Struthio camelus: one gene and its partner. The protein of the gene in region 1 interacts with the protein of each later gene in a biochemical or structural test. Links are inferred from orthologs where the notes say so. Each region holds a gene or a part of one and is shown in the gene's direction. Other genes may lie near its edges.

Region 1 (3,739 bases):
TCTGCCGGGGCTCTGCAACGCGAGTCTCCGGGCGAATTCCTCCTTCCCCAAAGGCTGTAATGGGAGAAAGAGGGAAAGCGATGCAAAGCTGCCAGTAAGACGTCAGCGTGTGGGGAGAAGGGCCCCGCTTTCCAGGCGGGCTTCAGGCCAGCAGGGACGGCGAGCTCTTTCAGCAAGCCTCGACTGCCCCACGTTCCCCTCGCTTGATGCCAGCGAGGCCGAAACGTCTCCGCTGGCAGCCGCCGCTCCCAAACGTTTATCCCCGATGCGAGCTGCGGCAGAGGCGTTTCACAGCAGGCCAAAAGACCGCAGCCGCTTGTTGCCTTCGGTTCCCCCCGCAGGCGCCGGGGCCGGAGGCGCCAACGGCCCTGGCCGGAACCGGCTGGAACCGGCCGCCGCCGCCGCCCCTCGCCTCAGGGCCGCCCGCGCGCGGCGGCAGGTGGATGGCGCCGTCCCGTCCCGTCCGCTGCGCGGCTCCGCGCCGCCTCTTGCCGCCGCCCCGCTCCGCTCCGCTCCCAGCTGACGGGGGCAGCCCCTTGTTTACTGGCCGCGGAGGCAGCCGCCAGCCCGGCCTGCGCTGGAGCCGGAGCTGGAGCTGGAGCTGGAGCGGCCGGGGCCGGGGCCGCGGGGCAGGGAGGGGCCCGCCGCCCCGCTTCCTGGGGCCGCCGGCCGGGCGCTATAAAGGCGGCGGCGGTGCTGCGCAGCGCAGCGCGGGGCTCTTCCCGACGATGCGGAGCCGGAGCCGGGCCCGGCCCCCGCGCCCGCCCCGCCGCCTCTGATTCGCCCCTGCCGGGACGCGCCGAGCCGAGCAGCGGCGGCGGCTGCAGCTCCAGCGACGCGGGCATGGGACCGAGAGCGGCGGCGGCGGCGCTGGCCGTGGCCGTGGTGCTGGCGGCCTGCTGCGGCCGGAGCCGGGCGGAGAGTGAGTAGGGGGCGGCGGCGGCGGCGCGGCCTAGGCGGGCGGCGGGGCGCTGCAGGTGGCGCGGCGGGGCGCCGGGCGCCGTGAGGCGGCAGGGAGGGAGGGAGGGAGAGCGGGCGGGCGCCGCGGGCCCGGCCCTGCCGCTTCCCCCCCCCCCCCCCAACCCTTCCCGCCGCCGTTTTACCCTTTGTACCGGCCGGGGAGCGGCCAGGCCGCGCCGCGGGGCCGTGGCGGCCAGCCGGGGCCTGCGGGGCCGCCCGCGGGGGGGGGGGGGGCGCCTCGGGTCACCTTCACCCCTCGGCTTTGCCTTGTGGGCCCCGAGGTGCCGAGCGGGGGGCTGCTCCAGCCCCCTCCCCGGGCTGGCCGTTCTGCCGTGATGTTTGTTACTGCTCCGGCGTGTTCTGGAGGCTCCGGCTGACTCGGGCTTTGAAAGCGCGTCTCGGATGCGGCGCTGGGGGGGATAATGGTGCCGTCTGCGCCCGGGGGGGGGCTGCCCGGAGCGGGGGTCTCGCCCCCCGCCGTGCTCCCCTGCCGCTGCCCCTTTCGGGCTGCTCTCAAAACGAGCTCTCCTCGCAGAAGCCTTTTTAGCGTGCCGAGGCGTCGCCTTAGGAGCTTGTGTCCTTAACCGCACAAATACTCCTAGGTAGGCTTTCAAATCCGCAGGTATTAGAGGGGGCTGGAGCTTGGTGGTAGGGATCTGCGCGCAAGCCAAGTCTCGCGAAGTACAAAACAGGGGTGTAAAAACGCGTGTTGGAGGTGGCAGGCTTGTGAGCTTCGTGGCTGACGTGAGTTGAGACTAGCCTTGTGAGCTGTTCCGATGGGTTCTCTTGAATAAACTTGCCTAAGGAATTGTTCTAGTTGGACGTTTCTCTTTTGAATTTTGGGGGACGTTCACAGAGTTCTTTTTTATTATTGCTAATTTTTTTTTAGTAAAAGGAAAATATTTGTTTAAATAGGACCGGACACTGAAGTTGTCTATCCCATAGCTGCTACCTGGGAGCTTTCCCACTGGCAAAGGCAATAGCAGGCAGGTAGGCTAGAGCCTGGACGTTGCAACGGTGGAGTCTTTTGAGAGGTGTGTAATGGTGAGGGAATAAAGCAGGACCTACCTTTCAGACAGCCTTTCTTCTTCTTCTTTTTGCCAGCGAGCTGGCAAAATTATGCATTTAAAAAATATGCAATTTCTTCTTCATGTATGCCTTCATGTTAGAAGACTTGAAAAAGACCAGTGATAAGTTTTTAACCTAGGAGGTTAAGCTGTAGCTGGCAAGCATGTACAAACCTGCCCATCTCCAGCAGAAAAATGTAAAAGATAATTGGCATATAGCATTGATAATAAATAACTATAAAATAACTTTAGTCCAGTGGCTCTGAATTTGAAAACACTACCACTACTACATTCAGTCTTCTCTTATCCTGTTCTGCTATTTGGGTTGTAAGTATGTTTATGATCATAGCTGCCCAATCTTTGCTGCATTACTGTGTGGTAGGAGAGTATGCTTTACAATTCATCGATGGAGAAACGGGAGCGATGCACAAGATGGCAAAGCCTGTAGCAAAGCCTGGGATGGAGTGTTTTTATATTGTTCATGTAGCGCGAATACTTTTCGAAGTATTTTACAGACTGTTTGGAATGTGAGGTCCCTAATTCAAAAGATTTTCAGCTTCTTGGCTTTCATTTTCTACTCCGTTTTTCTGAGAATGGTTAGACCATACTGGACTACAATGCGGATCGAAAACAGCACGCTAACATGAAGGCCTACATCAGAGTGGCTTGAAGGGTAAACGCATGTACAATAGTTGCATAAGCAAACAAGTTGTTCCCTGAGCAACGGAACTAATGAAGTCTGCTTTCTTGGAGATTTGTGTCCTGCGTTCTGCACAAACATGCACCCTGATAATGCCACTCTCCAGTGACAATATTCCCCTGGTCTCTAACCATAGCATTTCCTGTGCCTTCTTCCTCCCTTTGCTTCTTCGAGACCGTGCTGTAGTTCCCCTCGTGTCCCGTAAGAGGCTGGGCAAAAGCAGCAGGTAGTACAAAAGGTTTTGAGCTGTGCGTGCAGATGGGACAGTAGACAAGCTGGATGGGTGGTTGGAGTTCACCCTTCAAGCTTTTTCTTAATGGAGTTGTTGAATTTTTCCTCCTTTCCCATCCCTAGTTTTCTTGAGTCTTTTAGGAACATGATGTAGGCGAAAACTTTCCTTTCCCGTTAGACTGAAATTAGTTGGTGTGTTCAGAAGCTACTGAGAGGAGCAGGAGCACGGTTAAGAGAATGAGAGCTGACGTGCGTGCAACGTGAAGATGCACATATCTTGCTTTGTGGAGAAAAACGGCTTTTTTGTTTTTTACCGCTGTGTAAACACAATGCAACTTCATGCAATAACTCTCACCTATGACTCATGCATGTCATTCATTAGCTGTGATATTTAGAGTGGGGTTTACCTCACCTAGTTTTAGGCATCTGCCAATCGAGCAAGTTATTTTGGCCTCCTTTTGTAGCTGTAGAGACCTAATCAATATAGTCGGGGGTATTTAGAGGCAATTCCTCCTCTCCTAAACCATTTGCTTACCTTTGGTCGCTGTACTTGTTCTCCGGTGACTATTGATGACAGTGGGAGTTAGGCATTTAGCTGAGATGTAGGTACCTAAATTAGGGACACATTGGGACAAATTCCACTTCTTACTCTTGTGGTAATGTTCTTTTAAAATAATCTACTTCTAAATTATGCTTCCTGTCTCATACTTTTTTTTTTTTTTTGGTGCTCATGAACTCCTTAAGAAACTGTGGCCCTTTTCCCGTCTCAACTAGTTATTAA
Region 2 (3,739 bases), on another chromosome or scaffold:
TGGGAGATACTGGGGGCCTTGTAGGGGCACTGGGGTTCCTGGGGGGATGGTGGGGGGCACTGGGGGTTACTGGGAGTTACTGGGAGATTTTGGGGGGCACTGGTGTCTACTGGGCGCCTTGTGGGGGCACTGGGGGACAATGGGGGGTCCTGGGGGTGTTGTGGGGGGCACTGGAGGTTACTGGGGGGATACTGGGGGTTACTGGGAGCATTATGGGGGGCGCTGGGGGGGGGCAGCCCCCAGCCTGGCTTGAGCAGGTGCAGGGAGAGCCCAGGCGTCCGGCCCCCCCCTCCCCAACCAGGGGCCCAGGCGTCCGGCCCCCCCCCCAACCAGGGGCCCAGGCGTCCGGGCCCCCCCCCTCCCCAACCAGGGTCCCAGGCGTCCGGCCCCCCCCCCAACCAGGGGCCCAGGCGTCCGGCCCCCCCCTCCCCAACCAGGGGCCCAGGCGTCCGGCCCCCCCCCTCCCCAACCAGGAGCCCAGGCATCCGGCCCCCCCCCCAACCAGGGGCCCAGGCGTCCGGCCCCCCCCCTCCCCAACCAGGGTCCCAGGCGTCCGGCCCCCCCCCCAACCAGGGGCCCAGGCGTCCGGCCCCCCCCCCCCAACCAGGGGCCCAGGCGTCCGGCCCCCCCCCTCCCCAACCAGGGTCCCAGGCGTCCGGCCCCCCCCCCAACCAGGGGCCCAGGCGTCCGGCCCCCCCCCCCCAACCAGGGGCCCAGGCGTCCGGCCCCCCCCCTCCCCAACCAGGGTCCCAGGCGTCCGGCCCCCCCCCCCAACCAGGGGCCCAGGCGTCCGGGCCCCCCCCCTCCCCAACCAGGGTCCCAGGCGTCCGGCCCCCCCCCCAACCAGGGGCCCAGGCGTCCGGCCCCCCCCCTCCCCAACCAGGGGCCCAGGCGTCCGGGCCGGTGCCACCTGCTCCGGGCGGTCAATCCCTGTCCGCGCCCCCCCCCAACCCCAACCCCAATCCGGCCTGTGGGGGGAGGAGGAGGAGGAGGGGGGGGCCCAGGCGTCCGGGACCCCCCCTGCCCCCCCCCCCCCAAAAAAAAGGAGGAGGCGTTGGCAGGAACCGCAGAGATTTGGGAAGGGGCCCAGGCGTCCGGGAAGCCCAAGCTTAGAGGACGCTGCAGGGAGGGACCCAGGCGTCCGGGGCGGGGGGGGGGGGGGGGAGCACAGCGGGCCCAGGCGTCCGGGCCGCCCTCCCCCCCCCCAGGCCATAAATAGCCGGCGGCGGCGACGCGGAGCCGCCAGACGCCGAGGGACCCCGTCGCGCCCCGACGCCCCGGTGAGAGCCCCCCCGGCGCCCTGTAGCCGCCCTATAGGTGTGCCAGCCCCCCTATAGCATCCCGGGGGGGAGGGGGGGGCACGTGGGCCCTATAGCACCAGGATAGGATGCATCGACCCTATAGCATCCCTGGGGGGGGCCCTATAGCGCTAGGGGGGGCATATAGAGTCTGGGGGGGTGTAGCCCCTATAGCACCTGCGGGGAGGCTGTATTGGCCCTATAGCGCTGGGGGGGGGCTCGACGGACCCTATAGCGGCCGAGAGGGTGCTAAAGCCCCTATGTGCTTATAGAGGGGGGTGTGCCAGCCCTATAGTTTATGGGGTGTCCGTGCAGACCCTATAGCAGGGAGGGGGCTGTATAGACCCTGAGGCAGTGTAGAGCAGTTGTGGAGACCCTATAGCACTGAGGGGGCTGTATAGACCCTATGGCAGCCAGGTGAGGGGGGTCTCTAGACCCTATAGCTCCTGGGGGGGAGGCTGCGTAGACCCTGTAGGCATGAGACAGCAGGTTGTATGGATCCTATAGTGCCCAGGACAAGGGTATATAGATGCTATAGTACCCAGGACAAGGCTGTGTGGACCCTATAGTGCCTGGGATGAGACTGTACAGATCCTATAGGGCCTGGGGCGAGGCTGTACAGACCCTATAGGGCGCAGGGCAAGGCTGTACAGACCCTATAGGGCCTGGGGTGAGGCTGTACAGACCCTATAGGGCGCAGGGCAAGGCTGTACAGACCCTATAGGGCCTGGGGCGAGGCTGTACAGACCCTATAGGGCGCAGGGTGAGGCTGTACAGACCCTATAGTGCCTGGGATGAGACTGTACAGACCCTATAGAGCCCCAGGCGAGGCTGTACAGACCCTATAGGGCCCCGGGTGAGGCTGTACAGGCCCTATAGTGCCTGGGGTGAGGCTGTACAGACCCTATAGGGCACAGGGTGAGGCTGTACAGACCCTATAGGGCCCCGGGCGAGGCTGTACGGGCCCTTTGCTGACTCATAGGCACCACCGCTGCTGGGGAAACTGGTCTCTTAATGGAGCGCTGTATGGAGCCTATAGGGGCTGGGGGTGCATAGCGGTGCTGTGTAGCCCCTATAGCAACCAGGGGGGTAGGGGGAGTGGAGGGGAGGGACTAGCTGCTTGGGGAGCCCTATAGATGCCATAGGGACTGCAGAGGCATGCGGGGTGCCCCACTGCGCCCAGAGAGCGGGTGGGGTGGTGGGGTGCCCTGCGGGGATCAAGGGGCCGTGCTGGCTTGCAAGGGGGTCCTATAGCCCCTATAGCATCCAGGCAACCTACTGGGGTCTGTGGGTGCTCTGGAGACCCTATAGGATCCACAGGACGTGGTGGGCTCTGGGGCTGCCCTATAGGGTACAAGGGGGTGTGCTGGCTGGCGAGGGGGTGCTGTAGACCCTATAGCATCTGGGGTACATGTTGGGGTCTAGGGGTGCCCCATCGACCTTATAGCACCTGGGAGGCGTGTTGGGGTCCAGGGGTGCCCTATAGAGATCTCAGGGGCATGTTGGGGTCTAGGGGCACCCTATAGGGATCTGGGGAGCGTGTTGGGGTCTAGGGGTGCCCTATGGGGATGTAGGGAGCATGTTGGGGTCTAGGGGTGCCCTATAGGGATCTGGGGAGCGTGTTGGGGTCTAGGGGTGCCCTATGGGGATGTAGGGAGCGTGGTGGGGTCTAGGGGTGCCCTATAGGGCTATAGGGAGCGTGTTGGGGTCTAGGGGTGCCCTATAGGGATCTGGGGAGCATGTTGGGTCTAGGGGTGCCCTATGGGGATGTGGGGAGCATGTTGGGGTCTAGGGGTGCCCTATAGGGGTATAGGGAGCATGTTGGGTCTAGGGGTGCCCTATGGGGATGTAGGGAGCGTGTTGGGGTCTAGGGGTGCCCTATAGGGGTATAGGGAGCGTGTTGGGGTCTAGGGGTGCCCTATAGGGATCTGGGGAGCATGTTGGGTCTAGGGGTGCCCTATGGGGATGTGGGGAGCATGTTGGGGTCTAGGAGTGCCCTATAGGGGTATAGGGAGCGTGTTGGGGTCTAGGGGTGCCCTGTAGGGATCTGGGGAGCATGTTGGGTCTAGGGGTGCCCTATGGGGATGTAAGGAGCGTGTTGGGGTCTAGGGGTGCCCTATGGGGATGTAGGGAGCGTGTTGGGGTCTAGGGGTGCCCTATAGGGATCTGGAGAGCATGCTGGGGTCTAGGGGTGCCCTATGGGGATCTGGGGAGTGTGGTGGGGTCTAGGGGAGCCCTATGGGGATGTAGGGAGTGTGTTGGGGTGTTGGAGTGCCCTATAGGGGTATAGGGAGCGTGTTGGGGTCTAGGAGTGCCCTATGGGGATCTGGGGAGCGTGTTGGGGTCTAGGGGTGCCCTATGGGGATCTGGGGAGCGTGTTGGGGTCTAGGGGTGCCCTATGGGGATGTGGGGAGCGTGTTGGGGTCTAGGGGTGCCCTATG

Evidence for each region. The genes of interacting proteins can lie anywhere in the genome.
Region 2: the proteins of INSR (region 1) and TRIM72 form a complex in vitro, tested with the Homo sapiens proteins (2 studies listed by BioGRID). The link is inferred for Struthio camelus from reciprocal best matches to the Homo sapiens genes INSR and TRIM72.

The regions. Positions count from the first base shown.
Region 1 is NC_090967.1:5,524,058-5,527,796, forward strand, and holds the start of INSR (insulin receptor), read left to right. Parts: upstream 1-772; 5' UTR 773-843; coding exon 844-922; intron 923-3,739. UniProt on the Homo sapiens protein: Receptor tyrosine kinase which mediates the pleiotropic actions of insulin.
Region 2 is NC_090973.1:292,703-296,441, reverse strand, and holds the start of TRIM72 (tripartite motif-containing protein 72), read left to right. Parts: upstream 1-1,177; 5' UTR 1,178-1,280; intron 1,281-3,739. UniProt on the Homo sapiens protein: Muscle-specific E3 ubiquitin-protein ligase that plays a central role in cell membrane repair by nucleating the assembly of the repair machinery at injury sites.